Linked DNA regions of Lonchura striata. The main gene of each other region encodes a partner of the protein of the gene in region 2 in a complex. Links are inferred from orthologs where the notes say so. Each region holds a gene or a part of one and is shown on either strand. Other genes may lie near its edges.

Region 1 (15,852 bases), on a different chromosome or scaffold from region 2:
CAAACTTGTAGGATGTGAACACAATCCTGCTGGGAAAGCAGGAATGGATATGAGAGGGGGAGTTTGAACTGTGATGAGACCTGGAAACAATTCCCATAATGAAAAAAGAAAACCAAAACAAACCAGGGATTTTGCTGGAAAAACAGGGACGCATATCCTGATGGGACTGGGAGTTTGAACTGTGATATGAGTTGGAAGCAATTCTTAAGCTGAAGGGAAAAAATCCAGGAATTTCTGTTTCCCTGTCTAACACAGACTGGGTACAGGGGCTGCCTCTCCCAACAGCTCTGTGACCCCACAGCAGTGTCCAAATAACCCTGTCAGTGAGACTTTCCCGGGCCAGAAAATGAGGAAAAGTGAGATAAATCCGTGTGCCAACACAGAGACCACACACAGGCGTTTTAATTTATGCAGATCTGTTTGTAGGAGCTGTGCCAGAGCTCCCACAGCTTTGGGAAAGGAGCCTCAGCCCCTTGTGAGGAAAAGAGCAACACAAAAAACACACAAAATGTTCCCTCACCGCCTCAGGTTCCGGCTTTCAAACACGGTGTCCTCGTCACTGTCGAGGGAGCCCAGCTCGATGTTCTCATCCTGGCTCGACAGCAGCCCATACTTCTTCCTCTGGGGCTTCTTCAACCTGAAATGAGTTTTGGGCTTGTTTCTGGGGCCCTCGGAGCTGGGGATGAGGGACAGGGAGAGCACAGTGAGTGAGCCGCTGTCCCCACCCAGCGGGTGGTTTAGCGGAGATGGTTTAGCGCTAATTACCTCGGGTAATTAACAGCGTTAGGGATTTACAGCAACGTTTTGGACTCGCTGCCAAAAAAAGATGCGTGGGGAAGCAGAACCCCGGCTGGGAGAGAGAGGGAGGGAGGAAGGGAGGGAGATTCAGGGAAAATGGGCACAAACCCAGGGATTAGGAGCAGGACTGGGGCAAGCAAGGGACAGGGGACGCTGAACGGCTTTGGGGGGACTCAGAGCAAGACCGGGACGGGCAGGGGCACAGCCATGGGGGACAGGGACAAGCAAGGACACTGCCACAAGCAAGGGGGACTGGGTCAATCGGGGTGACATCCCTGACCAGGGGGAACCACGACTAGCACGGCACATCCCCGTGCCAGATAACCCTGGAACCGAGGCGAGCTGGGACACAGCCCGGGACAAGGGCAACAGGAACGAGGAGCAGCAGGGACACAGCCCCGGGTCAGGGGGACACCAGGGTGGGGACAAGACCAGCAGAACGCGGACACAGCCCTGCACTCACCGGAACGCCCGCAGCATGAAGTAGAGCGCGGCCAGCGCCGACAGAGCGCTGAGCACATAAACCGCGCGCCTCAGCACCGGCAGCCCCGACCCCACCGCCAGCCTCGGCCCGGGCTCGTGCTCCCACACCGACTGCGTCTCGTTCCGTGGGGCCGCCCGCGGCGGCTCCGTGCTGTTCCCCGCGCTGTTCCCCGCGCTGGGGGCGGCGGCGCGGCCGGGGTGCGGGACGAGGACGAGGAGGAGGAGGAGGAGGAGGAGGAGGAGGAGGAGGCGGCGCGGCATGGCCGGGCCGGGGCGGCGGAGCGGGAGCGGCGGCCGCAGGAAGGCGCCGGGCCGGTGCGCGCGGCGCAGGCCCCGCCCGGGCCCCGCGGAACCGCTCGCGGGTTCCGGGGCTGCGCCGTTCCGGGCCGGCCGTGACCCGCTCACGGAGCCGACATTTCGCCCTCAGGGTTGCTGTTGTGCCCTCGCTGGGCTGCGCGTAGATCGGCGGCGACGCCATTTCTCCCTCACTGCAACACCCCGTCTGTCAGAGACGCCATTTCCCCCTCAGGGTCACCCTTCCTCCCTCAGGGCTGCTGCTGCCCTTTGAGGACTCTCATTCCCTCCTCACAGCCGCCATTTCCCCCTCAGGGTTGTCCTTTCTCCCTCAAGGCCACCATTTCCCCGAGGGTCATCCTTCCTTTCTCAGGGCTCTTGTTGCCCTTTAAGGACTCTCATTCCTCCCTCACAGCCGCAATTTTCCCCTCAGGGTCATCCTTCCTCCCTTCAGGGCTGCCGCTGCCCTTTGAGGACCCTCATTCTTCCATCACAGCCGCCATTTCCCCCTCAGGGCTGCTGCTGCCCTTTGAGGACTCTCATTCCTCCCTCAGAACCGCCATTTCCCCCTCAGAGTCATCATTCCTCTCTCAGGGCTGCTGCTGCCCTCTGAGAACTCTCATTCCCTCCTCACAGCCGCCATTTCCCCCTCAGGGTTGTCCTTTCTCCCTCAAGGCCACCATTTCCCCGAGGGTCATCATTTCTCCTTCAGAGTCGCCACTTCCCCCTCATAACAAGCCCTTCTCCCCCCCAGAGCCGCCATTTCCCCCTCAGGGTTCTCCTTCACCCTTCAGGGCGGCCCATGGTGAACACAGCTGGAAACAGGAGCATTTTGAGCATTTCAGTAATTTCTATCCCCCACCTCTTCCTTCTGCAGACATTTCTGGCTGAGCAGGGCTCAGTCACCACCCTTCAGCCCTGCTCCACTTCCCTATTTTTTCCTCAGGGAATGGCTCAAAGCTGCCTGGACACACAGGGCTTACTTTTTTAAAAAAGGGCATTTTGGCTAAAACTGGGTCACCCAAGCTCACGTCAGACCCACAGCACCCAAACACCTTCCTGGTGACGCACTGGGTTCCACATCCAGCCCCTTGCTCCAGCGATTCCCTCACCCATCCCAGCAATACATCATTAACGCAATGCCATAATTAGCAGTGCCAAAAATAACAGCACCTTCAACCAGGCTATTTTTGCACCCGTTCATTATTTCTGCCTGCATCGAAGCATCCTATTTAGGAAGGTCTTACAAAGCATTATTTGTAAGTATTTTCAGCCTGAATTAATTTAAGCCTCACCTGACTGCATTTTTATCAGCAAAGACTTCACACACTCCTCACAATTCATTGTATTTCATATCCTCCTGCATTAACATGCAAAAATCCTCACTGGTGAATTGCTCAATACAACCCCCAGAAGTGTGTCATGGCTGATTGCTTTTTTTAAATGCTGCTTTCTTAGATAATTTGAAAAAGGTTAAAGGAGGAAAAGTAGGTTTTGTGAAGTGAGCTCAATAATCCCCTCCTGCAGGCAGGAGTGTCTGGAGACTCTTATCAGTGGGATTGGGCAGCAAGTTCTCAGGGCTCCTGAATGAGCCCATCACCAAATTTTGAGTTTATCCGTTTCAAAAAATGGGGAGAATAGGGCAGGATGAAGCAATCAACTCTTCTCTAACACGAAACAGAAGGGCAGGAGCAGCTGAGATCATCAAAAACTCACTGCTCTCACCCTGCAATCTCCTGCCAGAAACACATTCAGCTTGTCAGCCTCTCCCAACATTTTATTAATCCTCATTACCAAGCTGCCACATTTTTGGGATTTTACCTGCAACAAGACCTCATTTTCCACGAGGATCACACATCAATCTGCTTGGAGCAGTGTGTCCACCTCCGAGCACCAGAGTGATGGTTTTGCTCTGTGCTCTGAACTGGGCTGTGCACCAAATACTTTTGCCAAAAACATTCTGTTTCCCACAAAAAGTACCACAGAAATTTGGTTTTTTCCACATTTCAGTGTTTTATTCTGTCTTGATTGATTTGGTTCATGTAAAAATGATCAACACCACTGCTCTGTGCTCTTCATGTCTCCACTCCAGTGTCTGTCCTTCTGCCTTCTCTGACATGTCTCAGTGCTGAAACGAAATGGAGACAAGAGAATTGGAAGGTGGATAAAGATACAGGAAAGGAACGGGGTTACTGCACCACTTAAGAGCTCAGGGCTACAGAACAGGGACACAGCCAAAGGAAAAACAAAGAAAAACAAAAAAACCATGAAAGGGACATTACCTGGCTGGCAAACTTGCTGCAGCATCCCTGGAACGCAGCTCTGGTCGCTCAGGATCCGCTGGGCCTCCGAGGTGTGTGCCGGGTCCCTTCAGCCTGCTAAAGCAGAGAGGCATTAACAAAGGCCCAGGGCAGAGGCTGCTCTCGCCCCCAACCTCCCCACACAGCTCACAGCGCACGAGGGTCTCACAAGCCATCGCTGAACCCATCACACCACAAAGCACAGTCTGGGAAAACTGTTCCGGGCCGGCTGCTGCCCGTGCTCAGCCAGCCCATGGATTGGATCCCCTAAGCAGAGAGTTAACACTTGGACATGGCTGCTTAGGAAGTGTGGGCCATGGGAAAAAGTTAATGGCAACAAGTAGGATGGCAAAGAAAGCTACAATTAAAGTGAGCAACTTAATGAAGTCTAGAAGAGTCTCAATAGATGAACACATATCGAGTCAGGGAGTTCGTTCCAATCTTGCTTCCGTACCTACAGCAAGACACGGCTGCATGCCCAACTCTGATCTGTGGAACTCAAGGTGTGCCACAAGCCAAAGGTTGCATACGGCATGGGTTAAACGTTTTTCCAGTAGCTGACCAAAATTGTCAAAAGGAATATTTCACAGGTACATTAGACTTTCAAATGAGCTCTCAACAAGAGGAAGGATGCGGACATGAGCAAAAGGAGTTACCTCGAATTACAGGACTATTTCCACATATGAACTAGCCAAGAGAGCAGCTCTCGTCTCAGAGGTTTCTGTTGGAGGCACAACACTTCTTTTCTCCAAGGACACTGCAGTTTCCATTTGCTAGCAAAGAATTCTTAGAACTTGTAAGCAATGACACAGCTAAGCTAAGCCCGGCATTCCCCTACATCACACACGCGCTCGGCACGCAGGGAACAGCCCAGGGACTACAGCACTTGGCTCTTCTCTACAGCTTCCCAGTGTAGGCTACAGCAGCTTTGGAGCAAACATCCATTATCCTTCCTAACATTCCAACTTCACTTCGCTCCTAGCACACCCTCAGGTTTGTACTTCCAGCCTCTACAGACAAGTTTTGACTACTTTATGTGAAATTTCTTGGCCAATTCAGATGTCAAGACCGATTTTAGGATTTAAATTCCAGCGCCCGGGCAATCGTCCGGCCAGCTCTGCCACTGTCCCTAATCTCCTCCTCTCGCTCCCGTGACTGTTCTTCATCTCCAAGGGTTGTGTTGTGCAATGAAATGTAAATGTCAGGAGCAGAGTTCATTTCAGACGGTCCTTTAATAGGCTTCGTAAAGCCAAAGAAAACTGTATACAGGAATCCTTTACCACTTCAAATACAACAGCAATGGAATATGCATATTTCTTCCAGTAAAAAAGGACAATATAAATAAACATTTTCAAGAACCTCTTTATGGTAAGTTTGCAAGTCTAGTTCTGGGTCATTTACATCATTACAACAGTAAAAATACCGTTATGCGAGTGGAACATACAAGCACGTTTCTCTTTAGATATATCAAGGTGGTTTGCCTTCCAACGGAACCCAAGCTGCATTCCTACCTTGCTACACTAAAGGAATGTTACAAAAGACAAGGGTAATGCACTTAAAAAAAAAAAAAAAAAAAAAAGAGAATAAAAAGTCCACAGCTTGTTCAGCTTCCAGTGAACATTGGTACAAGATCCTTGCTAGCTCAAAAGAAACTGAATTGGGGCCCCAACTTAGAAAAAAAAAAAAACAACCAAAAACGAACACCTTGGCTCATTCATGGAGAATAAAATAAAATCTGAAGTGCTTTCAAAGAAGATTAAAACCACTTGAAAGCAGAGCTTTCTCTGAGACAGTCTAATCAGACAGTCTCGTTTCAGAAGCTGCCAGGCTGTGTATGACAAGATCAGAACTGATAATACTACAAAAGTGAAAATACAAGTAGATGTACTACACAATAACCATTTCAGCGAAGCTCCAAAAATCTTTATAAATACAGCCATTGGAAGGACGATCTTGAGTCAGGAAGGATTTTTACTCGTTGTGTGTAGCTGAGGACAAGAAGCAGGCACAATTGTAAAGGCACTGAAGCAAAGACAAGTTCCAGCATTTTACTCCCTTTGCAATATTCCGAGGCTACGGCTACTTGGCTACTGAGATCCCCCACCCGCGGGTCAGTGCGTTAGGGCAGCCGAGTTTGGGCTCCAGGAACACCTTATTTTTTTTTTTTTTTTAAACACTTGCTTTGCCTTAGATCCGAGCAACTCCTGCACATGCATTAAATTAGAATCTCCCGGCACCACCACGTCCACAGCCTGAGCCTGCCCCAGCTCCAGGCTCAGGCTCAGCAGGTTCAGAGCTCCTACAGCACACGGACTCAGCGCTCCCGCTCGAAGCAGGACTTACCGTAACTGTCGTAGCTGTCTCTGTAGGACCCTCCTGAGTTCCTGTCTCCATAGCCACCTTGACTCCTGCGGGACAAACAGCACCTCATTTACAGCTGCTCAACTCCTTCTCTGCTGGGTTGAATTCCACCACAGCTTGCCCACGAGCCCTGGTGCTGGCAGAGCCCTTACCTGCTGTTATAGTAGTCTCTGGAGCCGTTATAGCCTCCACTTCTGGAGTCGAATCTGCTGCCGCCATAGCCTCTGTCTCCACCTCCTTGGAAATACATGGAAACGCGGTTTTTTTAACCATTCTGACAAGACACATTCCCCCATCCAGACATTATGACTGACCCCCATGCACTCACCTCTGGAGAAGCCACGGCCCCGGCCTCGGCCCCCGCGGAAGAAGCCCCGGCCCCCCGAGGACCCCCCTCTGTAGCCACGGGATCTGTTCTCAGATGATTTCCCAGCCTGGTCGACTCGGATCTGACGCCCATCTACAGACTAAAACACAACCACAGTTAGCCAAACTGAAACATTTAAATAGCAAGCACATGTAGAAGGAGTCACATGCCTTCACAGTTGGCTGAGCAGTGCCAGGACTCGCTGCTCAAGAAATAACCATCTATTTCATGCCACAATTAAACCAAGTAGGCAAAAAACCTGATATATTAATTGCATTTACGGGAATACCTATAAAGTCGTATCTCAGTCATCCAGGTTCCATAATGGAACTTTATCAATTTGTATTCGTAGTATGTATATATATACATATAGGTTCTATGTATTAATCTATATAGCCAGATTTTTTACATCCATATCAGCTCATTTAAGACACTGGCATTTATCTGGTTTTCCACACAGCCTGAACAACAGCACACCTCTGAGTCTCCTCCATTATGGGAAATGAAGAATCAACTCCGAAACCTCCTCACCTTTCCATTCATGGCCATCATTGCATCTTTCGCATCATCGATATTTTCAAAAGTAACAAATCCAAAACCTCTGGATCTCTGAGTCTCTCTGTCTTTCACCACCACGACTATGAAAAGGACATAGAGGAAACAAAAACCCATCAGCACCAGGGAAATTTAACAGACTAAGGGAAACTATGTCATTGTGGCTCTGCAGTCTCACCTTCAGAAATCTGTCCGTATTTAGAGAAGACTTGCTCCAATGACTGCTCATTGGTGTCGAAACTCAGCCCGCCGACAAAGAGCTTTCCCTCATCTGATGCCATTCTGACCTGCCAAACCAACAGAACCGAGTCAGCAACTCAAAAAACCCACATAATCCCCGCCAGGCCACAAACATTAAATCCTTCTAACACTACCTATAACGCCACCGATGTAACCTCAAACTCCCGGACCACTTATGCGCCCCTGAGGCCACACCTTATGTGGTCTCCCAGCCTCAGAACGGGTCTCCCTCAGGGCGGGCGGGAGCGAGGGCCCAGCGGCAGGAGCATCACCGGGGCCGGGCCCCGGCGGAACCGGCGGCCGGGTCGGGTCCCGCCGAGCCCCGGTGGGACCCCCGCGGCCGGCCCCTCCGTGCCCAGCGCGCATGCGCGCCGCGCCGCGCCCCCTACCGGCCTCCCCGGCGCAGCGGCGCCCGCCGCCCCCTCCCTCCCGCCCGCCATTTTGCACGGCCGAGGCCCGTCGCCATTTTGTTTCCGCGCACGCCTTTCCCCCCGCCGCGGCCCCTTCCCCCTCGCGGCCCACACCGGCCCGCTCTGCCGCGCCCCCTGTGCCCGCAGAAGGCACCGATCGGCGGGTCGGGAGCTGCGGCCCAGCCTCCTGCGGGACCCCGAGCTCTGCCCCTAGGACACGGCTCCGCTCACCGCGGACCACCCCGCCCGGTGCGGTCGCGGACGCCCCGCGCGACTGCGCTCACCGATACCCGGGCGGCGCGAGGTTCCCACAACACTTCAAAGCTTCAGCGAAATGTACGGCGAGCCTGGCGGGGCGGCGCCTTATAAACGCCCGCGCCTCATCCCGCCTATCTTATGAATATGCAGATGAACCCCGCTGCAAGGAGGGGCTTCGCGTCACCAAAGCGCCGCCGCCGCTTCACCACCTGATTGGGCGGGATTTCATTAATATTAATGAACCGCGACGGGGGCGAAGCAAACAAAACCACGCCGTGGCCCCGCCCCTTCCACCCATGCGGGGGGGCGGGGGCGCGGCAGGCGGCGCCCATTGGCTGCGCGCGCGGAGGCGGGCGGGAGCGCCCCTGTGAGAGGGGAGGAAGTGGAGGGCGCTGATTGGCCGGGAGGGCGGGCCAGGCTGGCGGAGGGGGCGTGGCCAGGCTGGCCCAGTTTCGCGCCCTCTCGCACTGCGGCGGCGGCCGCAGACAAAGGGGCCGCCTCAGGGGCCGCCGCCATCTTGGGCGCCCGGCGCTGCCCCCGGCCGGGCTCCGGCGGCTCCTCCCGCCGCCGCCCCGTCGGTCACCGCCCCGCTGAGGGAGCCCGTTTTGTGCCCCAGAACCGTCCGCCTTCCTCTCTGTCCCGTGGGGGAATGATCCCTTCAGCTCCCTCTTTGCAGTGTTGCCCTAGATGATAGAAGTAGTCAAAGCAACAAAGTTTTCTTAAAAAAAAAAACAAACAAAAAAAACACAAAACTTTGCTCTCAACCTGTTTCCCCAAAAATTGAAAACTTTAAAAGCCCATCCTGAGGTCTGAGAAAAGTGAGAATGCCTTCAGCAGGAAAAACTTTGTATTGAAAGAGAAAATTGGCAAAGCCAAAGACGTGTCTTACCGAGAGGCGACACAGCTTTGAAAGTCCTCAAAATAAAAACGTTCGGTGTGCCATACATTACAATCTCACGTAGAAAAGTGTTAGGAAACATTGGAGAGGAAGAGACGCACGTGAAGAAATGGAGAGGGGGAGATGCAGGGGAGGGAAGAGCAGCGTGAGGAAACGGGAAGGAAACGCGGCGAGGACGGGGCTGTGCTGTCCCCGTGTGTGCCCCGCGCCCAAGGACAGCACTGGACACAGCAGGGTCACTGTGTGTGTGTCCCCTCTCCCAGGTACCGCCAGACACGTTTTTTCTGCTTCCACAAACTCCTTGTAATTCATGGTGCAGTTTGCAGCCGCAGTTTGCCGCTCCTTCCCTTTTCCCCTTCCCTTCCCTTCCCTTCCCTTCCCTCCCAGTATTTCCAGTCAGAGCCAGGCCGCACAGAAGAAAATCACTGGAGTACAAAAATCACAACTACTTGGTGACCGATTTCCAAACCACAGGGAAATGCAAAAAAACCTGCCTGTGATTGCTCTGTCGAGCACCGATCACCCATTCCCTGCGTCCCAGAACATGGAAATTAGGCTTTTCCTCTCTGATTTGTTGGGATCCCTTTGGGATCTGCAGGAAAAGGGCAGTTTGCACATAGGTAATACAGCAATTACAAAACCCAGGGGCACCACAGCAGCTGTGGATTTTTTGAGCTCACGGGGCCACAGGGACAGAATGCTGCCACCAAAGTGTTCAAAAGCACATAAAAGATCCCAATATTGATGACACACCTGGCCAATATTATTATTTTCATACGATGAAAAAATGTACTCACTTTCCTAGGCCTGGAGAAGGGAGCAGACGCATCTGCTGTTACTGCAAATTGATTTTTGCCCTTCAAGAGAGGAAAAGATCCCAGCCCTGCAATCACAGGCACAGCATTTTGATTAAATTAGAGACCCATTAACGTGAGCATTTCTGGTCTGTGATGAGGGTGGATAAAGTGACCTTGATGCAGAGAGCCATTTTCCAGCCTGAGATGCTGGACAGCCAACACTAACCCCGCTGCAAACCTTGAGGGACAAACACCGGGATTCACTGGGATTTGACTCCACACAAAACCAGGCAGGTCGGGTGTTGTGAAAATAGCAGTGAGAACCTTTGCTGCTTTGGGGGAATTTGAGTCCCAGCAGGATCAAGGGCTGCTGGCAGCAGAGGAGCTCCTGTGACAGGGAATGGCGAGCACAGCCCTGCTTGGTTGTGTCCCAAAAGTTTGATTTCTGTCTCCCTGGGGCGTGTTGATGCCTTTGCTTTGACAGTGAGAGTCACCAGTGACACAAGGAGAGAGCTGGGCCAAATAGACACGGTGTGCTCTGGCCCCAGTGCTGCTGCTGCAGGGAGGGTTCAGTGCTCCAGTGCCCTGACTCGGGGCATCAGACATGGCATCAGACATGGCATCAGCTGTGGATTTGACAATCCTCCTGGATATTCCATGATCAGGCTGCACACAGGGGCCGCAGCTGCCCCACGTCACCAGGGACATCACTGCACGTCCCACAGGCTGGGCTCTGGCTGGGAGCAGCGCTGGGAGCAGCCAGGCAGGCAGCTCACCCGGCAGATTGCACCAGCCATTGGGGCAGTTAATTAAGCACTGAAACAGCCCGGGATTCACATCCTTAGAGCAAACCTCCTGCAGCAGAAGGGCCCTGCCCAGGGGCCCCAAGCAGGCAACACCACGTAGGAGATGCAGAGTTCACTCCTGTGTGAGTTCCAGACCTGAGCACCCATGGCTGTTTTCCCTGGCTGAGCCCTAATTTTGGTCACCTGGATCTGGCTGTGAGAAGGGCTGTGGCCGTAGTGACCCCATTTGACAAAAGTGCCAGCACTTCCTTAGGAAGTGCAAATATCCGCTCTGAAGCAGAGCTGTTTGTGTGTACAGGTGCAGCCACGGGAAATTGTGAATCACCAGAGGCTGGAGGGACCTCAGGGATCACCTGGAGCTGATTCAAGCAATCCCCCCACACACGACTGATGTTTTTATCACCTATTTTTTAAACCTTCCGAGGGCAGAGGTTGTAGGACCGAACATCCTGTTAATGCAAATCTGATTTCCTAGAAGTTCTGCCTGTCCAGCAGCACAGCAGGGATAGCACCACACGGAAATGCCACGGGGGAACCGTGACAGGAGGAGCTGTGCTGCCCTCCCACCTTCACCCCGTGCCATTCCCACATCAGCATGAGCCTCTCTCACATCCCACGCTCCATCCACAGCACCGCGGGCTTTCTCTGGGGGTCCCCACCTTGCTGGGCTGTTTGTAGGGCTCTTTCCCAGTCCCTGGAGTTGCCCAGAGCCGTGCAGCAGCTGAGCCCAAACCTGCTTGGCAGCCCTGGCACCTTTTGGGGAGCCAAGGGCAGCCCCCGCCCCGGGCGCTGCTCTGATGAGGTTCCCAAATCCCGGAGCAGCTCCTCCGGTGCTGCCGCCGCGGGCCAGGGCTGGGAACAGGAGCGGTGGAAAGGGGAGGACGGGGCAGTGGTGCCACATCTCATCCTCTGGTGCTGCTGTGCTTTACCCGGGGCTGGGAGGGAACAAAGCCCTCCAGGCAGCCCCCTTCCCCCGCCCGCTCCGGGTTCTGGCACAGCGTTCCTCCTGCTCCTGAGCCTCGGCAAAGCCCCCGGGACCATCCTCCCTGCTCCAGGCACAGCGGTGGGGGAGCTCCGCACGCCCCAGCACATCCTGCAGGGCGCAGGAGCCGCCTCCTCTGCCTTTGTTTCTGCTGGGATTGCAGGAAAGGAGGGAATGTGAGGCCGGAATGAAGATCTCATCCCTGCGCCTCCACCCCAGCCAACACCAAGCCTCTGGTTCCTTCCTGGTTTTCCCTGCAAGATCATCTTATACCAGGAGCAGGGAGATGCCACAGGGGAAGCACAGAGTCTTCCCAGGCCTCAGGGACCCCAGCACAGGACCCCTCGGTGTCCCAGCACAGCACCCATCAGTGTCCCAGCACAGCACCCATCAATGTCCTCAGCACAGCACCCCTCGGTGTCCCAGCACAGCACCCATCAGTGTCCCCAGCTCAGCACCCATCAGTGTCCCAGCACAGGACCCCTCGGTGTCCCAGCACAGCACCCATCAGTGTCCCCAGGTCAGCACCCATCAGTGTCCCAGCACAGCACCCATCAGTGTCCCAGCTCAGCACCCATCAGTGTCCCAGCACAGCACCCATCAGTGTCCCAGCACAGCACCCATCGGTGTCCCAGCACAGCACCCATCGGTGTCCCCAGCACAGCACCCCTCAGTGTCCCAGCACAGCACCCATCAGTGTCCCAGCACAGCACCCATCAGTGTCCCCAGCACAGGACCCCTCGGTGTCCCAGCACAGCACCCATCAGTGTCCCAGCACAGCACCCATCGGTGTCCCAGCACAGCACCCATCAGTGTCCCAGCACAGCACCCATCAGTGTCCCAGCTCAGCACCCATCAGTGTCCCCAGCACAGCACCCCTCAGTGTCCCAGCACGGGACCCCTCGGTGTGCCTGGCATGGGAGCCCTCGCTGTTCCCACCGTGTCTGGCCCTTGGCAGCCTTGGAGCCGCAAGCAAACACCAAACCAGGGCTGGATTAGGGAACTGGCAGTCCCAAAACGCCCCAGGGAAAAGAATATTCCCTTCTCCCTTCCTCCTGGCCCCGAGGGAGCTGCTCATCCAGCTTTGCAGTTGGAAAGAAAAGCCCTGACGCAATCCCCGTTACCATGGCGAGGAGCGCGGCCGCTGCGCTTCCCGTGACCGGGATTTACCGGGCTGCAGGACAAAGCCACGGGGAGCGGGGCACGGCATCCGCCGGGATCAGATCCGCAGAGAACAGAAGGATGGGATCCACAGGGAGCGGGGGGATTGGATCCACAAAGAGCAGAATGATCGGATCCGCCGGGAGCAACGGGGATGGGATCCACAAGAAAAAGGTGCACGAGATCCGGGCTGGCACAAGGTGCCCTGAGGTGATGGGGGTCACAGCGGCGGGATATCCAAACTGCAGCGTTAGGAAATGAGCTGAGGTCCAGGTGGGATTCGGAATCGGAGATACTGGTGCACCCAGCTGGAGCCCAGGGGAATTGGGAGCTGGGAATGCCAGTGCACCCCGATTGAGGTCAGGGGGGATTCAGGGTTGGGAATGCCGGTGCACCCCGGCTGAGGTGAGGAAGATGGTGAAAAATAAGCATGTGGTAACCATGGAAACCATGTAACTGCCTTGGCACTGAGCAGCAGCTTTATCAGGGCTGGTGCTTCCCAGCTACACGATGGAAAACCAAATCTTGTGTGTCAGACCATCCCTACCTGCCCAAACACAGCCAAATTTAGAAACCACTGCACCCAGCATCTCCAGCAGCAGCCTCATCACCCCTCACGGGTCACACTAAGGTGTTACTGTGGGATTTTTGCCCATTTCCTCCAGCACTCCCAGCTCGCCAGCACAACATTCCACTCACCGTGATACATGAATGCTTTTCCAGCATAAACCCTTCACCTCCCAGCTCTGCCACGCCAGAGAGCCCGACCGTGCCAAGGGCAACGTGGTTCAGGGCAGCACCACCAGCCGCTTGCTCCCAAAGGATGCAGCACTGCCTGGGGAAACCCAGATGGGGGCTGCCCAAGCTGCTTCCCCGTGGGTGGCCTCTCCCCCACATCTGCCAGGGTCCCCCTGCACAGAACGCAGCTTCCCTGGTGTGGGAAAGCAGCAGCAGCAGCGACGTGTGGTTTATTGCTCCCACCTTCCCTCCTGTCGCCCTCCTGTCTGCATTAAGGACTCGGTTCAGTTATATAAGCGCTCATTAATCATCACCTAAGAGCATTTGCAGCGCTGAGTTCTTAAGGGCAGGAGATGCTGCCCAAGGACAGGACAAACAGCCTCTGACCGCCTGACACCAGGCGACCTTGCAGGACAGAGGGGTGGGAAGGGTTTATCACAGTCCGCAGGGGAAAAGCCGCCAAGACTTGGGAACATCGTATCCCTCCCCAGCAAGAGGTAAAGTACACGCCGAGGGGGGCCAGCTCAGGTGTTGAGGGAAACTGGAACTCTTCCAGACCCCTCAGGCATGTCTCACACTGCACTTTGCTGCCGTGATTCGCGGTAGGACCGGAGGTGTCACACCCCCTACAATCCCATGCAGGGTGGCACAAGGGTCTCAGGGCTCCCCAGGACCGCGATGTCCTCCCAGGCCCCCCGTGTTCCCCCTCTGCTCCTCAGCGGCTCGCTGCGTGCTGCTGCTTCCCTGCAAGGGCAGTGAATCACCTTGATCGCACAGCATCCGTCCCCTAGTATTTTTTTTTTTTTTTTTTGAGTCATTTCATTGCCCATCAGCACGAGGGGTGGCCCGGCGGAGTGAGCCGGCATCTGCGGGAACAGCCGCGACTGCAGAAATCCCTGAACTGCAGCATCAACATTTTTTTCCTGCCCAGAAGGTTCCCGCGCCCTCGCATGAGCTCATCCTGCACCGTCCCCTTTCCGCGCCTCCCGTAACCCAACCTCTCCCGGCCCCGCAGAGCAGCAGCGAGCCACGACAGCCGAGCGGATTTTTGGCTGCCTGGGTCGCTCTCTCCCCGCGCTGCCTCTCGGGAAGCTCCAAGTCATGCGACTCCTTCTCTCTCTTTTTTTTTTTTTTTTTTTTTTTTTAATTCCCCTCAATGTGGGGAAACGAGTCGGGAAAGTTCCCCCGCTCTCTCCCCATCGCGCTGATCCGAACGGAGGCAGGTAGAGGCAGCGTCTCTGCCTCCAGCAGCACCACGCCTGCCCTGGGAGCCGGGCGTTCCACAGGGAAAAGCCGGATCCTGGCACTGCTCGGGCTGGTGCCACCCAGCACAGCTGCCCCGAGACAGGGCAGCGACTCCTGGAGCTTTCTGGGGGAGCTTGGCAATGCTGCCACAGCAGCAAAGACCCCCCGGCACCCACCGGCATGAGCTGAAGGGGAGTGGGGGCTGAGCTCCCCGCTGCCACATTCCCGGGGTGGCAGTGCCACGTAGACTCGCCCCGCCGGAAATCCTCCTCCCAACAATCCCCAAAAACGCTGGAAGCGGCTCCGAGCTGCCCCGGAAAGCGGAGCTCCCCCGGCATCGCTGCCGTGCCGGGAGCTGGACGTGACCCGCTTCCCAAAGCAGCGGGATGGAGGATGGGAGGGAGCTGCAAGATCCATGCCCCGAGAGCAGCGGGAGCCACCAAGAACTGACACCAGGCTGAGCCCCTGCCCCGTGGAAGCCCAAAAAAAAGTTTCATTCCATCCTGGCTGCTGCATGACCCCATCCCAGCTGGGGCTGGGCACAGCGTGGAGAGGGATTTCAGCTTTAAGAGCATCTCGGAGCATCTCATCCCCTGCTGTCTCACACTGGCCGTGCCTCACCCCAGCCCGGCGGGTCCTGCTGTGGGCTGAGCGAGCTGCCACTGTTCAGCACCCTGGGGTTCCCTGCCCTGGCGGCGTCCCAGGGGTGCCGGGGTGCTGAGCGCTGCCGTGGCCGTGGCAGCAGAGGGCAGCCACGCTACGTGCACCGATCCTGCCCCCCCCGGCACCGCGCCGCCCACGCGTGTGCCACGGCCGCGCTGCGCTCGCCCCGTGTCACCCCGTGCCCTGCCCGTGTCCCCCCAGCTCCTGGCTGCAAACGGGGCTGATCCTGGCGCCCGGCACCCCACAATCCCACCGCAGAGCCCCACACGCGTGTGAGACCCCAGCCAGGGCGTGAGGATGCTGGCCAGACCCGGCACTGTGCGGGAAGGGTCAGAGCTGGTGGCACTGTGAGGTCCCCCTGTCCCAAGTGACAGTCTGTGACAGGGTGAATCCCACGCTGCCAGTGCCTCAGTTTCCCTCCCGACACTGCTGCAGGAAGAACCAAACGGTGCCAAGGGCTCCGTCTACCAGTGCTGCCCCAGAGTGGGGTCCCCGA
Region 2 (14,820 bases):
GCAGGTGACGGGATCACGTCACCCCCAATTAGCGGGGCCGGCGGGGACGGCGGCGGGCGCGGGGGGCGGGCAGGCTGGGGGGACCCCCGCCTGTGCAACCCACCCGCGGCACTGCCGAGGGGCTGCGGTGGGCACAAGGACCCCAGACCCGCGGGCGGGGGCTCTGGGGGGGTCGGGCGGGGCTGGGGTCTTCCCCGGGGCCAGGGGTGGATGCCAGGGCCCCGTTCATGAGGGTGGGCGGGGGTCCCGCAGCCGGGGGTCTCGTATCAGGGTCCTGCACCGGGGTCCCACAAGTGGGGGGCTCGCAGATGGGCGTCCCATGTCCGAGTGCCTCGGGTGAGGGTCCCGCGGACATGGGGACAGACGGGAGAGGCGGGGGCCCGCAGCAGGGTCCCGGGGCGGGCGGGGGTCTCACCACGGCGGTCACGACCACCTCGAGGTGCCGCCGGCTCTCGAAGTCGAGGGCCCGCGCCAGCACCACGCGGCCGCTGTTCGGGAGGTCGATGCGGAAGAAGCGGGCGTCGGGCTGGGGGGGGTCGGTCAGGCCGGCAGATGGCCCCGGCCCCCCCGCGGCCCCCGCCCCCGCCCCGGCTCACCGAGGCCGTGTCGATGACGTACATGAGCGTGTCCCCGTCCGCGTCCTCGGCCTGGGCGCTGAACACCACCGAGTGCACCGGCGCCAGCTGCCGCGGGGGTCAGCAGCGGTCCCGGACACCCCGGGGCCCCCCACGCCCCCAACAGCCCCTGTGGCCCCCGAACGCACCCGGGAATCCCGGACACACCCTGCACCCCCAAACAGCCCTGAGCTGCCTCGCGGGGGTCACCGGGGGTCCCTCAGCACTCACGACCACACCCGGTATCCCCGTTCCCACTTTTGGGTGTCCCCATCCCTTCTGGGCACCCTCCCTGGCACAAACTGTCCTTGTGCCCATGGCCCGACTGTCCCTGTCCCCGTGCCTGTCCCCAGCCCGTGCACACAGCCTTCCCTGTGCGGGGCCCATCCCTGCCCCACCACCATGACCAAGTGCAGGACGCGTCACCGCCCCTGTCCCCGGCGGTGCCACTGTCACCTCGCTGACGTTGTGGGTGAGGACAGTGGCCCCCTGGAAGTGGGGCCGGTTGTCGTTCTCGTTGAGCACCTGGACGATGATCCGGAACTCGACCTGCCGGGGGCGTGGGGGACGGACACAGGCGGTGACCAGGGTGGGACCGGGCGCCCCCAGAGCTCCGGGTCCCCACCGTGCGTGGCCGTACCGGGGAGGAGCCGTCCTCGGCACACGTCAGGGCCACCATCAGCACCGGGGACTCCAGCTCCTGCGGGGACAAGGGACACTGGGACACGGGTGACGTGGGGGGCTGCCCCACGGGGTCCCCCGCCAAGCTGGGGCAGGAGGGGCCCAGCTGGATGAGCGTGGGGCAGGATGACCTGGAGAGAGAGGGGCTGCAGGATGGATGGACACAGCACGGAGGGAGCATGAATGGATGGACGCGGGATGGACACAGGATGGACACGGGATGGGCAGAAGAGGAAGGATGAATGGAACATAGACAGATGATGGTAGACCCAGGATAGATGGAGTATGGATGAGAGACAAAGGACGGGCACAGGTGGCTGAGGGATGGACACAGGATGGACACAGGTGGGTGTGGGATGGACACAGGTGGCTGAGGGATGGACACAGGATGGACACAGGTGGGTGTGGGATGGACACAGGTGGCTGAGGGATGGACACAGGATGCACACAGGTGGGTGTGGGATGGACACGGCTGTGGGAGGGAGGGATGGATGGTGGAGGTAGATGGACACCGGGTGGGTGGGGATGGACACGGGGTGGAGGGGGTGGATTCAGGATGGATGCGGGACGGACACTCGACGGACACAGGATGGCTGGAGCAGGGCAGGGGACCGGGGGTGTCCCGGCGGTGTCACCTCACGGTCCAGCGCCCGCCCTGCCGACACGTTGAGCCGGACGCTGCGCCCGTCCAGGTAGAACCAGGCGGCGTCGGCGCCCACCAGGCAGAGCTGGAGGCCGGCGCCGCCCCCCGCGTCCCCCGGCGGGGGCAGCCGCGCCACCAGGCTCCCGTGGGCGCTGTTCTCCGCGATCTCCGTGAACAGGTTCCCGAAGCCGCTGCAGCCGTCGCCCCGGGCTGCCGTTGCCGCGCCGGGGATGGGCACACGGGTGTCCGTGGGGGGGTGGCCCCGCGGGTCCCCAGCCTCGGGGTCCCCGTGTCCCCACGCCCTGGGTCCCTCTCCAGGTCCTCTCCCCCCGTTCCCTGCTGACCCTCCCAGGGTCCCTCGTGTCCCCGCGCCAGGGTCCCCATATCCCCAGCCCAACAGCTCCATCCGCGTCGCCACCTCCCCCCTCAGTCCCCCCGTGTCCCCACCACCCAAATCCCACTCCCTGGACCCCCAGCACGGTCGCCCGTGTGTCCCCCCGTGTCCCCACCCCCTGGTCCCCACCCCCGTGTCCCCACCCCCTGGTCTCCGTCCCCAGGACACCAGCGGGCTATCAACCCCAGTGGTCCTGCGCTCGGGTGACATCTTTGGGTCCCCTCTGTGTCCCTGTGCCCTGGGGTCCCACCTCTCACGGTTGCTACTCCCAGGGTCCCCACCAGACGCCCACCGGGTCCCTCCCAGCCCCGGTGTCCCGCTCAGGTGTCCCCTGTCGGCCCGGCGCCCCAGGTGCTCACCTGTGGCCAGGTGCAGCGCCAGGCAGGCGGCCAGGAGCGCCGGGCAGGACGCGGCCGCCATGGGGACACGGGGACCTGGGGGGCGCCTGCGGGGCGGCGGGAGGAGCGGGGCTGCCACCCCCGGCCCCGCGCCCCCGTCCCCAGCGCCCTCCGCAGTGTCCCCCCCGCCGGACAGCCCCGGTGGCAGCGCTGGCACCGCCCCGGCTCCCTTCCCCCGGGACTCTCGCGCTTGGCTGTCTCTGCCCGTGTCACCCACCCGGGCCGCCATGCCCGGGTCCCCTTCCCCAGGACCCCGGGGTGCCGCCGCTGTCCTCGGTGCACGTCCCCAGGGTGTCCCTGTCCCCACCAGGGGGTCTCACAGCCGTGTCCCCCCTCCGTGCCCCCTGACCAATGCCACTCGTGTCGCCCCCCAGGCCCCGCGCTGTGCTGGCCCTGCCCTGGGGTCTGCCGGGGGACCCTCGGCGTTCCCCGCGCGGCCGTGGCAGCCATATGGCGCCCCCCCCCCCCCCAATTAGCGGCAGGTAATTAGGGCGGGGGAAGGGGGGGCGCTCCCGTCTGCCACCCCCGCCATCCCGCGGTGCGGGGTCCCCGTGCTGTCCCCCAGACCCGCTCCCTGCTGGGGGCACGGCGGGAGTCGGGGGGCTCCCGTTCCCACCCTGCGCTCCGCGGGTGCCACCCCGCCCGCGTGTCACCCCCGTGTCCGGGCCCCCCGTGTCCGGGACCCCCTCCCACCCCGGGACCCCTCCCGGAGATCGCGGCCCCCCACAGTCCGCTCCCCCCGCCCCCCCGTACCTGCCCGGCGCCGCCGCCCCCGGCGCTGCTGCCCCGGCCCGGCGGGACGGGGGGGCGGGGGCGGGACCGGGCGGGGCCGGGCCGGGCCGGGGGCGGGGCTGACCCGGGACCTGCGGCCGGATCGGAGTGCTGCCCGGCCTGGCACCGCCTGGGCATCACCTGCATTAGCCGGGCATCACCTGCACCACCTGGGCATCACCTGCACCACCTGCCCGGCCTGGCACCGCCTGGGCATCACCTGCATTACCTGAGCATCACCTGCATCACCTGGGCATCACCTGCACCACCTGCCCGGCCTGGCACCGCCTGGGCATCACCTGCATTACCTGAGCATCATCTGTATCACCTGGGCATCACCTGCACCACCTGCCCGGCCTGGCATCGCCTGGGCATCACCTGCACCACCTGGGCATCACCTGCATCACCTGAGCATCACCTGTATCACCTGGGCATCACCTGCATCACCTGAGCATCATCTGTATCACTTGGGCACCACCTGCATTACCTGAGCATCATCTGTATCACCTGGGCATCACCTGCACCACCTGCCCGGCCTGGCACCGCCTGGGCATCACCTGCACCACCTGGACATCACCTATATCACCTGAGCATCACCTACCCTCCTGCACCTCCTGGGTGCCACTGTCACCACCTGCCCTGCCTGCACCTCCTGGATGTGGAGTCTTTGTTTCTTTTTTGGGCCTCAGGTCAAATCCCACATCCTCTTTAAAATTCCCAGTAACCAGGGCTCCAACACCTGGGTATCACCTGCTGGCACCTGCCTGGGCATCTCCGAGCCCCATGGGCCATGCCCGAGGATCACCTGCGTGCCCCAGTCCCTGCCTGCACTTCAGGAGATGTCACCTGTCTGTGGTGCCCGGGAGCATCCCCGGTCACCTGCCTGCACCTCCTCTGCCACCTGCCAAGGGCTGTGCCCGGGCCCTGCCTGCACACCTGGGCCGTCCCTGCACACCCAGGGCATTCCCTGCACACCTGGGCTGTCCCTGCACACCTGGGCTGTCCCCTGCACACCTGGGCCATCCCTGCACACCTGGGCCATCCCTGCACACCTGGGCCATCCCTGCACACCTGGGACATCCTCTGCACACCTGGGCCACCCCTGCACACCTGGGACATCCCTGCACACCTGGGCATCCCCTGCACACCTGGGCTGTCCCCTGCACACCCAGGGCATCCCCTGCACACCTGGTCCATCCTCTGCACACCTGGGCCATCCCTGCACACCCAGGGCATCCCCTGCACACCTGGTCCATCCTCTGCACACCTGGGCCATCCCTGCACACCCAGGGCATCCCCTGCACACCTGGTCCATCCTCTGCACACCTGGGCCATCCCTGCACACCCAGGGCATCCCCTGCACACCTGGGCCATCCCTGCACACCTGGGCCATCCCTGCACACCCAGGGCATCCCCTGCACACCTGGGCCATCCCTGCACACCTGGGCTGTCCCCTGCACACCCAGGGCATCCCCTGCACACTGTACCTGCCCTGCTGGGCTGTGCACGGCCTGCCCATGCTGCCTGCACAGGTGTGGGCCCAGGGAGGGAGTGTGACCCTCCCTGCACACCTGGCAGGGGTGTCACATCCCTGTGCACACCTGGCAGGGGTGTCACACCCCTGTGCACACCTGGCAGGGGTGTGACCGCCTCCACGCACACCTGTGGCCGGTGTGAGGCTGGTCGGGATGCGGCCCCTCCTTGCACACTCGCGTGTCCCCGCTGAGCCACCGCCGTAATCCGCTTTGGGGACAAAGAGGATGAGCTGGGGGGAGGGGGAAGTGACACGGGGGCCACCGAGGGGGAGTGCGGGTGTGAAAATGAGGTGAGGGTGTGTGTGCAGGTGTGTGACCCAGCAGTGACACTGCAGCTGTAGAGGGACTGACCACGAATCATGGAGCTCAGGCCGGGCTGGGCTGGAAAAGACCAGGAGAGGAGCTTGTCCCACACACCTGCCACGGGCACCACCACGAGGGGACGCAGGGGCTGGCCCGGGCGGGGCACAGCGAGCACCGCTGGCCTCAGGAGCCACCTCATCATTACTCAACAGTGACTATGGGGGAAAGGAAATTAAAGGAGTTTTCCCCCAAAATCCATCTCAATCCAGTGCCCCTGCCTGCCGACACATCGGGTCTGACTGCCGGCATCACCTAACCAGGAGCTGAGATGAGGAACAAGGTGGGATCAAGGCCCCAGGAAACCCCCCCATCCCAAAATCCCATGGATTGAGATGAGGAACAAGGTGGGATCAAGGCCCCAGGAAACCCCCCCATCCCAAAATCCCATGGATTGAGATGAGGAACAAGGTGGGATCAAGGCCCCAGGAAACCCCCCCATCCCAAAATCCCATGGATTGAGATGAGGAACAAGGTGGGATCAAGGCCCCAGGAAACCCCCCCAATCCCAAAATCCCATCACAGCTGCAGATGGAGTTTTCTCCCCAGATGTGGGGGCTGGCAGAGCCCCCCTCAGTAGCTGCTCATGTCTATTGTAAATGCAGGTGACCCTGGTAGGAAGAAATTATTATGTTCAGAAGTCTGAATGATTTCTTTAGTATAACTATACTATAATACATTAATATACCATTTAAAGGAGACACTAAAACTACTTACTTTTTTTAACTGCTATATTTAACTAACTTACAACTCGTGCCCCTCTCTGAGTCCAGCCCCAGGTGGGTTGGATTGGCCATCAGGCTCAAACAATCCTCACCAAGCACTCACCCCAGGGAAACAATTCTCCAAGCACATTCCACATGGGAAAACAAGGAGCAGAAACAGAAATGGTTTTCTCTTTCTTCCCTCTGTGCGTCTCTGTAGAAATGCTGAGACAGAAGAAGGTGCCTGGCACACGCGGGTGTCCCCCCCGGCTGTGCCCACGGCGCCTGGCCCCGCGTGGGGCTGGCACTGTGGGGGAGGATTTTGGGGACGTTTGTCCCTGTGCAGGTCGGGCCGATGTCCCCCTGTCCCGCCCGAGGCCCCGTCCCACCCGCTCGCGCCGCGGTGGCTCCTCAGCCGATCCCAAAGTGCAAAAGGCAAACGGCAGGGGAACAGCGGGTTAACCACCACAAGTGCACCTTTACGGGGGGCCAGAACAGCAAATGCCACGGAGGGGACAGAAAAGGGAAATAAAGGACGGAGAGAAAGGGGGGAAGGGGACTAGAGCTACCACTGTCAGGACTAGATCCTCGACGGCCCAGCCACAAGGATTTGCCATCGTCCATGGCGGTGCACCGCAGTCTTCCCAAAAATTAATTTACACGGCCTTTGTCCAAAGCGAGTGGCGCCTGGCCCGGGGGGAGATCCCTGGGGCACTGTGAGGAGCCCGCTGGGCTGTGGAGCAGCTGGGGCACGCAGGACAGGAGCAGCCCTGCCTGCCACAGCTCTGGAACGCGGCGCCCTGTGGAGCACGGGCAGCGCCCTGCACACAGACCCAGCGAGGGTCCCCCTGCCCCCCGATCCTGGCACGGCTGCCCCGGGCTGCCTGCCTGGTGCCTTTCTCCCCGTTCTGCCCTGTTTGTGTGCAACAAAAAGCTTTGCACCTTTAAGGCTCGTTCCAGGAGTGAAGGGGGGGGGAAGGAGCGCAGTTTGTTTTCAAGAGCTGCACTCCCTCCTCCACATTCCTGCTCCTGGACTGAGTGTCTGCAGACAGACAGACAGCGAGACAGAGCTCTCCTTTGCTTTCCTAGCTAGCTTTAGCTAGCTGAGCAAAGCAGTTCCCTGGACTGGGCTGTTTTCCCTTTCTCTGGACTGAACACCAGCAGAGCAGCAGCAGCTCCGGGCCTGGGCCGTGGCATTTCCAGCTCTGCAGGGCCGGATCAGAGACTGAGTGAGCCCAGCTGCAGCCCGGGGGGTTTCTGAGCTTGTCTCTCTCTTGGAGTGGCAAGAAGTTTTATTGTTTAATATTGTTTAGGTTTGCTTGTTTAATAAACAGGTTTTTTCCACTTTTCTCCAAGGAGGTATCTTTCCTGTGAAAAACACCAATCACTTGGTTTTTTAAAATTTTAAAAGTTTAATAATAATAAAATGGTTATAAAAATAGTAATACAATTAGAGTAATAAAGTTTAGAGTTAGGACAATTACAAGACAATAAAAAGCAAAGAATTACAGACATCTGGATGCTCTCGGACACTAAGTCACAAAAAGCATGACTTGTGAACAAAGGAATAACCTTAAAAGCAATAACCTGTTACATATTCATATGTCCTTCATGGTTATGCATATATTCTATTTAAAACAAGAACTCTGTCTGTTGTATGTCAAGTGTTTCCTTTACTCCCCATGGTGTGTTCGAGTCTGAGTAATGCCTGAAGAAATTAGCTTCCTCTGATAAGAAAACCGTAAATTTCTCTTCTCTGGAAGATTTAGGTATTCCTTGAAGCGAGTATCTCATTCCTTAAAAAACCCCTTCACATAGCAGAGTTTCTATTTTAACATCGTGCTGGAACCTGAAACTGTATTTAACACACCGAATACAGCATCACTTTCTGACATGACACATACCATATTCGTTGTAGCATTTGCGAAAAGCCAATCATAAAATACGCATTTTTCACACTGGGGGTCTCTGGAGCCCTGGGGACAGCCCGGAGGTGCCGGGGGGTGCCGGGGGGTGTCGGGGGGTGTCGGGGGTGCCGGGGGGTGCCGGGCCCCACGCCCCGGTTTTTTTGGGGGGGTGGGGCACGGACCCTTCCCGCCGCGCCGGGTGCGCCCGGACACATTTGCCCGCTGCACCGCCGGAAGCTCGCGTTGGGCAGGGCGCGGGGGGGGCGGGGGTGGGACAAACCGTGGCGGGATGGAATGGAATAGGACGGGACGCGATGGAATGGAACGGAACGGGACGGGACGGGTTGGGATGGGATGCGATGCGATGCGATGAGGTGGAAGAGGCGGAACGGGGCGTAGCGGGCAGCGGCGAGGGCGGGCGGCGGAACGGAAGGACGCGGAACGGAAGGCGCAGGGGCGCGTTTCCGGGGGCCGGCCCGGCGCGGAGCGGCGATGGCGGCGGGCGGGCGGCGCTGAGGGACCGGCCATGGAGCGCGGGCCGGGCCGGCCCAGCCTGCAGCTCGTCCAGCAGGCCGTGCAGGCGCTCTACCACGACCCCGACCCCAGCGGCAAGGAGCGGGCGAGCTGCTGGCTGGGCGAGCTGCAGCGCTCGGTGAGAGCCGCGGGCGGCGGGTACCGGGCCCGGCTCGCGGGGAGGCCTCGGGCCCCATCCGGGTGGGGCGGGGCAGGGAACGGCGGCCCCTTGGCGGCCTCGGGGAGCCTCTGCCCCGCCGCCGCCGCTTCCCGCTGCTCTGCGGCTACCCCATTCCTGAGAGCGCTCTGCAGAGGGACCGGGACAAGGCCTGCAGGGACAGGACCCAGGGAATGGCTCCCACTGCCAGAGGGCAGCCATGGATGGGAGATTGGGAATGAGGAATTCCTGGCTGGGCTGGGATTGCCAGAGCAGCTGGGGCTGCCCCTGGATCCCTGGCAGTGCCCAAGGCCAGGCTGGACACTGGGGCTGGAGCAGCCTGGGGCAGTGGGAGGTGTCCCTGCCATGGCAGGGGTGGCACTGGAGGGGCTCTGGGCTCCCTTCCCACCCAAACTGTTCGCCGGTTCCGTGATTAGCACCAGGAACAAGGGGCTGGAACGTTTGGCACAGTGCTGAGGCAGCTGGGAAGGAGGAATTGGCTCCCGGAGGGAAATTTGGGCTTCTTCTGCCGGCCGGGTCAGATCCGTGAGGGGATGGAGCCGAGCCCTCAGGACACACCCCGGGTTTGGGGTGTTGGTCGGTGTTCTCCTGCTGGGGCTGCTCTGTCCCCCTGCCTCAGGGGTGGTGCTTCCCCGCCCGGAGCTGGGCAGTTCCCGCTGTGCTCCCCCTTTCCCCAGGGCCAGGATCCCTGCCCTGGGGCCGGGGAGGAGCTGTGTCCTGGCCCTGCCTGCTCTGGCTGACCCAGCTCTGCCCGGTTCCCTTCCAGCTCCAGCCCCTTCCCGCTCCCTGGCCAGGCTCGCCACTCTTTGTTCCCACAAACTCGTGTTTTCCCATTTCCCCCCGAATTCCTGCAGTGCTGCAGCTCCCATCAGAGTTCCCAAGGGACTGTCCACGGCTGGGTCTGGGGGCTCTGCTGCTGCTCCCCCCATTTCCCCGGGGCAGAAGCAAGATCTCGAGGCAGCTGGAGGAGGGGCATTCACATTTCAGGGCTGGGTCCTGTCCCGGGCCCCAGGATTGCTGTTGGGTAAAGAGGTGTTCCAGGTCAGGCTCCCCATCCCCTGCAGAGTTTGGGTTTTGGGGGCTGATCTGTATTCCCCAGTATCTGGGAATCTGGGGGGGTCTCTGCTGCAGTTCCTCGGGCTTTTCCCTGGGCTCTTTCTGATAGAACATTAGCAGTAATAACAGCAATAATAATAATAATAATAATAATAATAATAATAATAAAAACAGCAATAACAACGTTGTTACTGACTCAGCTCAGCCCCAGGGCAGCAGCAGTCCTGCCTCTCCCCTTCTGCTGGGTCATTCCCCCTGCTTCTCTCTGAGCTCTGAGCTGCTCCCAGAAGGAACCCCACTTATTCCTGGGGTGTTCAGGCCCAGCCTGGCTCCATCCAGCGCCTCCCTCTGCTCGGAGCTGCTGAGTTCCCCCAGCCCTGCACAACTGGAGCTCCCTGGTGTGGGCTGGCAGCGTGGGATGCTCCAGGGGACCCTGCCCGGCTTGGGGTCACGGTGACCCTGGTGGGACAGGAGTCACTGTGGCCCTGGTGGCCCTGGCTGGGTGCAGCTCTTTGTCCCTCAGTGTCCCCGTGCCCTGGTCTGGATGGAGGCACTGGCATTAACCCCCCAAGGAGTGTTTGCTTGGATCCCGTTCTGTGCCCAGCCGTGTCCCTGCAGTGCCACCCGTCACGGGCTGTTTGCTGGCACCCCTGGGCTGTCCATGCCCTGCTGGGCTGTGTCACGTTTGCCTCTGCTGGGACGAGCTCTCAGGGTAGGGTTCCCACTGGCTTTTGCCTTTCTGGGGTTGTAATCACAGAATCCTGGGATGGCTGGGTGGGAAGGGACCCCAGAGCCCCTCCAGTGCCACCCCTGCCACGGCAGGGACACCTCCCACTGCCCCAGGCTGCTCCAGCCCCAGTGTCCAGCCTGGCCTTGGGCACTTGTAGGGGCAGTTTGGCTGACTGGGAGTGGGGACAGGGAAATCCTGGGAGCAGGGAGATCCTATTTGGAACAGCGAGATCCTTGGCTGCAGGTGCAGTTTGGGTGACTGGGATCAGGGACAGGGAGATCCCAGGGTCAGGGAGATCTGGGAACCTGCAGATCTGTGGCTGTGGGTGCAGTTTGGGTGACTGGAATCAGGGACAGGGAGATCCCAGGAACAGGGAGATCTGGGAACCTGCAGATCTGTGGCTGTGGGTGCAGTTTGGGTGGCTGGGAGCGGCGCTGCCCCAGCCCTGTGGGCACAGCTGTGAGGAGCAGGTGAGCAGCACTGCCAGCTCTGAGCCGGGCAGTGCCCGGGGTGCTGAGCAGCACTGCCAGCTCTGAGCCACACAGTGCCAGGGGTGCTGAGCAGCACTGCCAACTCTGAGCCAGGCAGTGCCCAGGGGTGCTGAGCAGCCTCACAGGGAGCAGAGGGCACACAGGTGCACTGCATGAACATGGGGGGATAAAAGGGGGTGAAGAACAACAAGGGCACGTGCTTGGAGCCTTCTGAGGTGGTGTGGTGTCACTGTGTGGGTTGAAGCCGTCTGAAATTGTATCTGTGGGATACATCCCATCGTAGGGATGAGAAGGCAAAACCTGCAGTGGAGTTTGGGTGCCTGGATCACTCTGTGGGGGTTCAGGTTTGGCACTGGGCACCCCCAAACCTAAGGGAGATCCCTGCAGTTCCCATCCCTGGTATCTCTGGCAGGACGTGGGTTCAGGTTTGGCTCTGGAGGGCCCTGGGGGCTCAGGTGTGTCCCTCAGCTCCCCCAGCTGCCTCGTTCTGGCCTTTGCTGCTGGTTATTCCTGGGAAATGGGGCCGGACGTGGCAGAGCAGCTCCGAGCCTGCAGAGCACCGGGGAGCTCAGCTGAAGGTGCAAGTTGACCTAAATCCCAGAATCTGCAGATCCTTCAGGCAGCCGTGGGCTGGGAGCTGTGTGAAGGCTGATTGCAGACTAGCTGGGGTTTCCTCAGGCAGAGGAGCTGTTCCCAGTGTGGGATTGGCCTTGTCCCAGCTTTCCCAGCTTCATGGCTGGCGTTTCTCTGCATCCCTGGTGTCTGGAGCAGAGCCCTGGGAGAATGTTCCATGTGGATCCACGGCTGTGACCTGAGTGTTGGAGCTTTGGTGTGCATTGAGGTTGGTTTGGGCTTTCGTGGGAGTTCAGGAACTGCTTTCTGGGAAGGAAATCCTCTGGCTTTGTAGAATTCCTGAATGTGCCATGAAGAGTTTCAGGCATGGAAACAGCTTCTTTGGTGCTCACAGCCCATTAATAATTGTGCTCTTTGCTGAGTTGGGCTCCCAGACGGATTATCCATGTCCCTGGGGTTGGTGGGCTTGGGAGATCTCCTGTGTCTGCCACCATGTCCATCTAAACCTGGAATTACCTTTGTTAATTGAGGGGAGAAGGAGTTTAGTGAGAGGGTTTGGTGGGATTCTGGCTGTTGTAGGTGTTGAGTTCTACTTCTTGTCTGTTCCCAGCGTGGGAGTTCCCTGTGAGGATAAATAAATCCGGGGGGTGTTTATGACAGCAGTGGCTCCAGGTGTTTCTCACTCCCTGTTAGAGTCGTTCCAGGTGAGTTTTACACCAGGAGATGCTGACCATGGAACAGCAGCTGTCATGGAGGCAGGGAAAGGAAAGGAAAGGAGGAGCAGAGCCTGGAAACGCAGAGGAGCTTGTCTGAAGGCTCTGGCAGGGCTCTCCTTGGCCAGGCTGTGCTCAGCCGTGGCGATGGACTGGCACTCCGTGGGGAGAACCTGCCGTGTCCTGTGGGGAGCTCCCGCCTGGCTGTGGCAGGGATGGATCCACGGCCGTGGGGGCTGAACCTGGAGGCACTGAGGAGCCGTGGGGATGTGGCTCCTGGGGACAGGGGGACATGGGGCAGCGGTGGCCTCGGCAGCGCTGGGAGCTCTGGGACTGCGTGGGCTGCAGGGGTTTCCAGCTCTGAGGGTTCTGTGGAAAGGAGGAAGGGAGAGGGGAGCACGTGGGGTGCTGGGGTCCCAGCCTCCCAGCTTGTCTGGGCCCTTTGAGTTCTGTGGTTGGCTCCAGCTGCGTTCCAGGCTCCAGTGGCTGTGGAAAGAGCTCCTAGCAGAAATTCCGGGAGTGGGATCAGGAACTAGGCCTTGTGCTATTGCCAGCTATAACATTTTCCTTTTCCATGTGCAAGAGACTGGGTTTTCCTGGGAATCAGCCTGGATCATACTGATCCTGCCTGGTGTTGCCTTCTTGTTCCCCTCTGTGATGCTGGAGAGCCCTGGCTCAGGATTTGGGTCTGGAGCACTGGTGGGGTGGAGCCTCTGAGCAGGCTGTCCTGCCTGGGGGGGGATTTGGAATGGGGATTATTTTGTCTTCCAGGCTGGAACGCAGCTGGAAGCGAGGCTAGGCAGGTGGTGGTTTGTAGCAGAGAGCTGTTTGGCTGTTGGAGTGACTGGCCAAGGGTTGTGATGGAATTGCCTTCATTAGTGAGGCTGGAATGAGGACCAGAGCTGGGTTTTAGGGATGCAGAGGTTTTATTTCGCTCTGGATTGAGCTCAGGGAAGTCCTGTGACCCAAAGGCTGTCAGAGACAAGAGCTGTGAAGCTCATGGAATTGATTCAAGTTTTGTTCCCAGGTTTCCACATCAGCTGGATTTGGGATTTTTAACCATGCTGGCCAGGGAGGTTTGGAGTTCCCGTCCCTGGAGGTGTCCAGGGAAGGACTAGACTCAGTGCTGTGGGCTGGGGACAGGGTGGGGACAAGGGCACAGGTTGGTCTCGATGGTCTTAAAGGTCTTTCCCACCCTCAGTGACTCTGGGATTCGGTGACTCTGGGATTCAGTGAATGTGTTCCCATGCCCCAGCCCAGCCAGGGGGCTCTGGAGTCTGTTGGGTGTTTCCCTGGCTCACCAGTGCCCCGATCCCACACTCAGGACTGAGCCTTTGGGTTCAGACCAGGCTGGCACGGGCTGGAGCTGCCCCGTGGCTGGGCAGGCTCCTGCCTGGCTCTCCTCCAGCGCTCAGGCACATCCATGTTCTGCTCTGGAGTCCCGGTGTGGGCCTGGTGTCCTCAGTGCTGGATTCCATATTGTGGTTGTAGTCTGGGGTTATCCAAGCCCCTCTGCCACCTGTGCCCTGCTGGGCTCTCTCTGTGTTTGTTTCTGTGTGAGACTCTGCTTAGCCCAGAGAAGCCTCTGCTGCCCTTTCCTGCAGGGTGGGGTGTTGGAACCCCGTGGGCTCTGCTCTCCCGACGGGGCTGTGGGGTCTCTGCCCGTGTTACAGAGCTGCTCTGTCCCTGCAGCTCCTCGGTGTCCCAGTGCCAGCCTGGGATGGCAGCACGGTGTGGGCTCTGCAGCCAGGGGTGTTCAGGGAGTCATGGAATGGGTTGGGTGGTCAGGGAGCCCAGAGCCCCTCCAGTGCCACCCCTGCCATGGCAGGGACACCTCCCACTGTCCCAGGCTGCTCCAGTGTCCAGCCTGGCCCTGGGCACTGCCAGGGATCCAGGGGCAGCCCCAGGTGCTCTGGCAATCCCAGCCCAGCCAGGAATTCCTCATTCCCAATCTCCCATCCATGGCTGCCCTCTGGCAGTGGGAGCCATTCCCTGGGTCCTGTCCCTCCACCCTTGTTCCCAGTCCCTCTGCAGCTCTCCTGGAGCCCCTTCAGGCCCTGCCAGGGCTCTGAGCTCTCCCTGGATCCTTCTCCTCTCCAGGTGAGCACCCCCAGTTCTCCCAGCCTGGATCCCTGGGATCTGAGGGGCTCCAGCCCTGGAGCAGCTGTGTGCATCTCTCTGGACTTGCTCTGGCAGGACAGGGCTGTGTTTCCATTGGGGAATTTGGACTGTCTGCAGCACCCTGACCCCCCTGCCCTGGCCACTGACCACGCCGTGGCTTTCCCACAGGTCCATGCTTGGGAGATCTCGGACCAGCTGCTGCAGATCCACCAGGATGTGGAGTCCTGCTACTTTGCGGCGCAGACCATGAAGATGAAGATCCAAACTTCATTCTATGAACTCCCCACGGATTCCCACGCCTCACTCCGGGACTCTTTGCTGTCCCACATCCAGAACTTGAAGGACCTGTCCCCAGTCATTGTCACACAGGTTGGTGATGGCAGAGGAGGGATGGAGCTGCTCCCTCTGTGTTCTGCTCCTGGCAGCCACTCTGGGACT

The links.
Region 1: the proteins of TNPO3 (region 2) and CIRBP are in contact, whole or in part, in a crystal structure (PDB 8CMK), measured with the Homo sapiens proteins. The link is inferred for Lonchura striata from reciprocal best matches to the Homo sapiens genes TNPO3 and CIRBP. Residues at the interface, in NP_036602.1 of Homo sapiens: Arg620, Glu660, Arg661, Cys663, Arg664, Arg667, Phe668, Arg671, Ser698, Cys699, Tyr702, Ser705, Ile706, Asp709, Glu710, Asp747, Asp750, Asp751, Arg754, Arg758; in NP_001271.1 of Homo sapiens: Tyr160, Arg161, Ser163, Tyr164, Asp165, Ser166, Tyr167, Ala168.

Annotation. Positions count from the first base shown.
Region 1 is NC_134630.1:6,362,570-6,378,421, forward strand, and holds CIRBP (cold-inducible RNA-binding protein), read right to left. Parts: upstream 8,242-15,852; 5' UTR 8,099-8,241; exon of another isoform or gene 8,093-8,098; intron 7,446-8,092; 5' UTR 7,440-7,445; coding exon 7,337-7,439; intron 7,242-7,336; coding exon 7,135-7,241; intron 6,704-7,134; coding exon 6,565-6,703; intron 6,474-6,564; coding exon 6,389-6,473; intron 6,284-6,388; coding exon 6,190-6,283; 3' UTR 5,864-6,189; coding exon of another isoform or gene 5,847-5,863; 3' UTR 5,089-5,846; downstream 1-5,088. Other genes in the region: protein FAM174C, read right to left, coding at 521-637, 1,262-1,542. UniProt on the Homo sapiens protein: Cold-inducible mRNA binding protein that plays a protective role in the genotoxic stress response by stabilizing transcripts of genes involved in cell survival. Acts as a translational activator.
Region 2 is NC_134607.1:73,046,784-73,061,603, forward strand, and holds the start of TNPO3 (transportin-3), read left to right. Parts: upstream 1-8,488; 5' UTR 8,489-8,533; coding exon 8,534-8,659; intron 8,660-14,550; coding exon 14,551-14,751; intron 14,752-14,820. UniProt on the Homo sapiens protein: Importin, which transports target proteins into the nucleus. Specifically mediates the nuclear import of splicing factor serine/arginine (SR) proteins, such as RBM4, SFRS1 and SFRS2, by recognizing phosphorylated SR domains.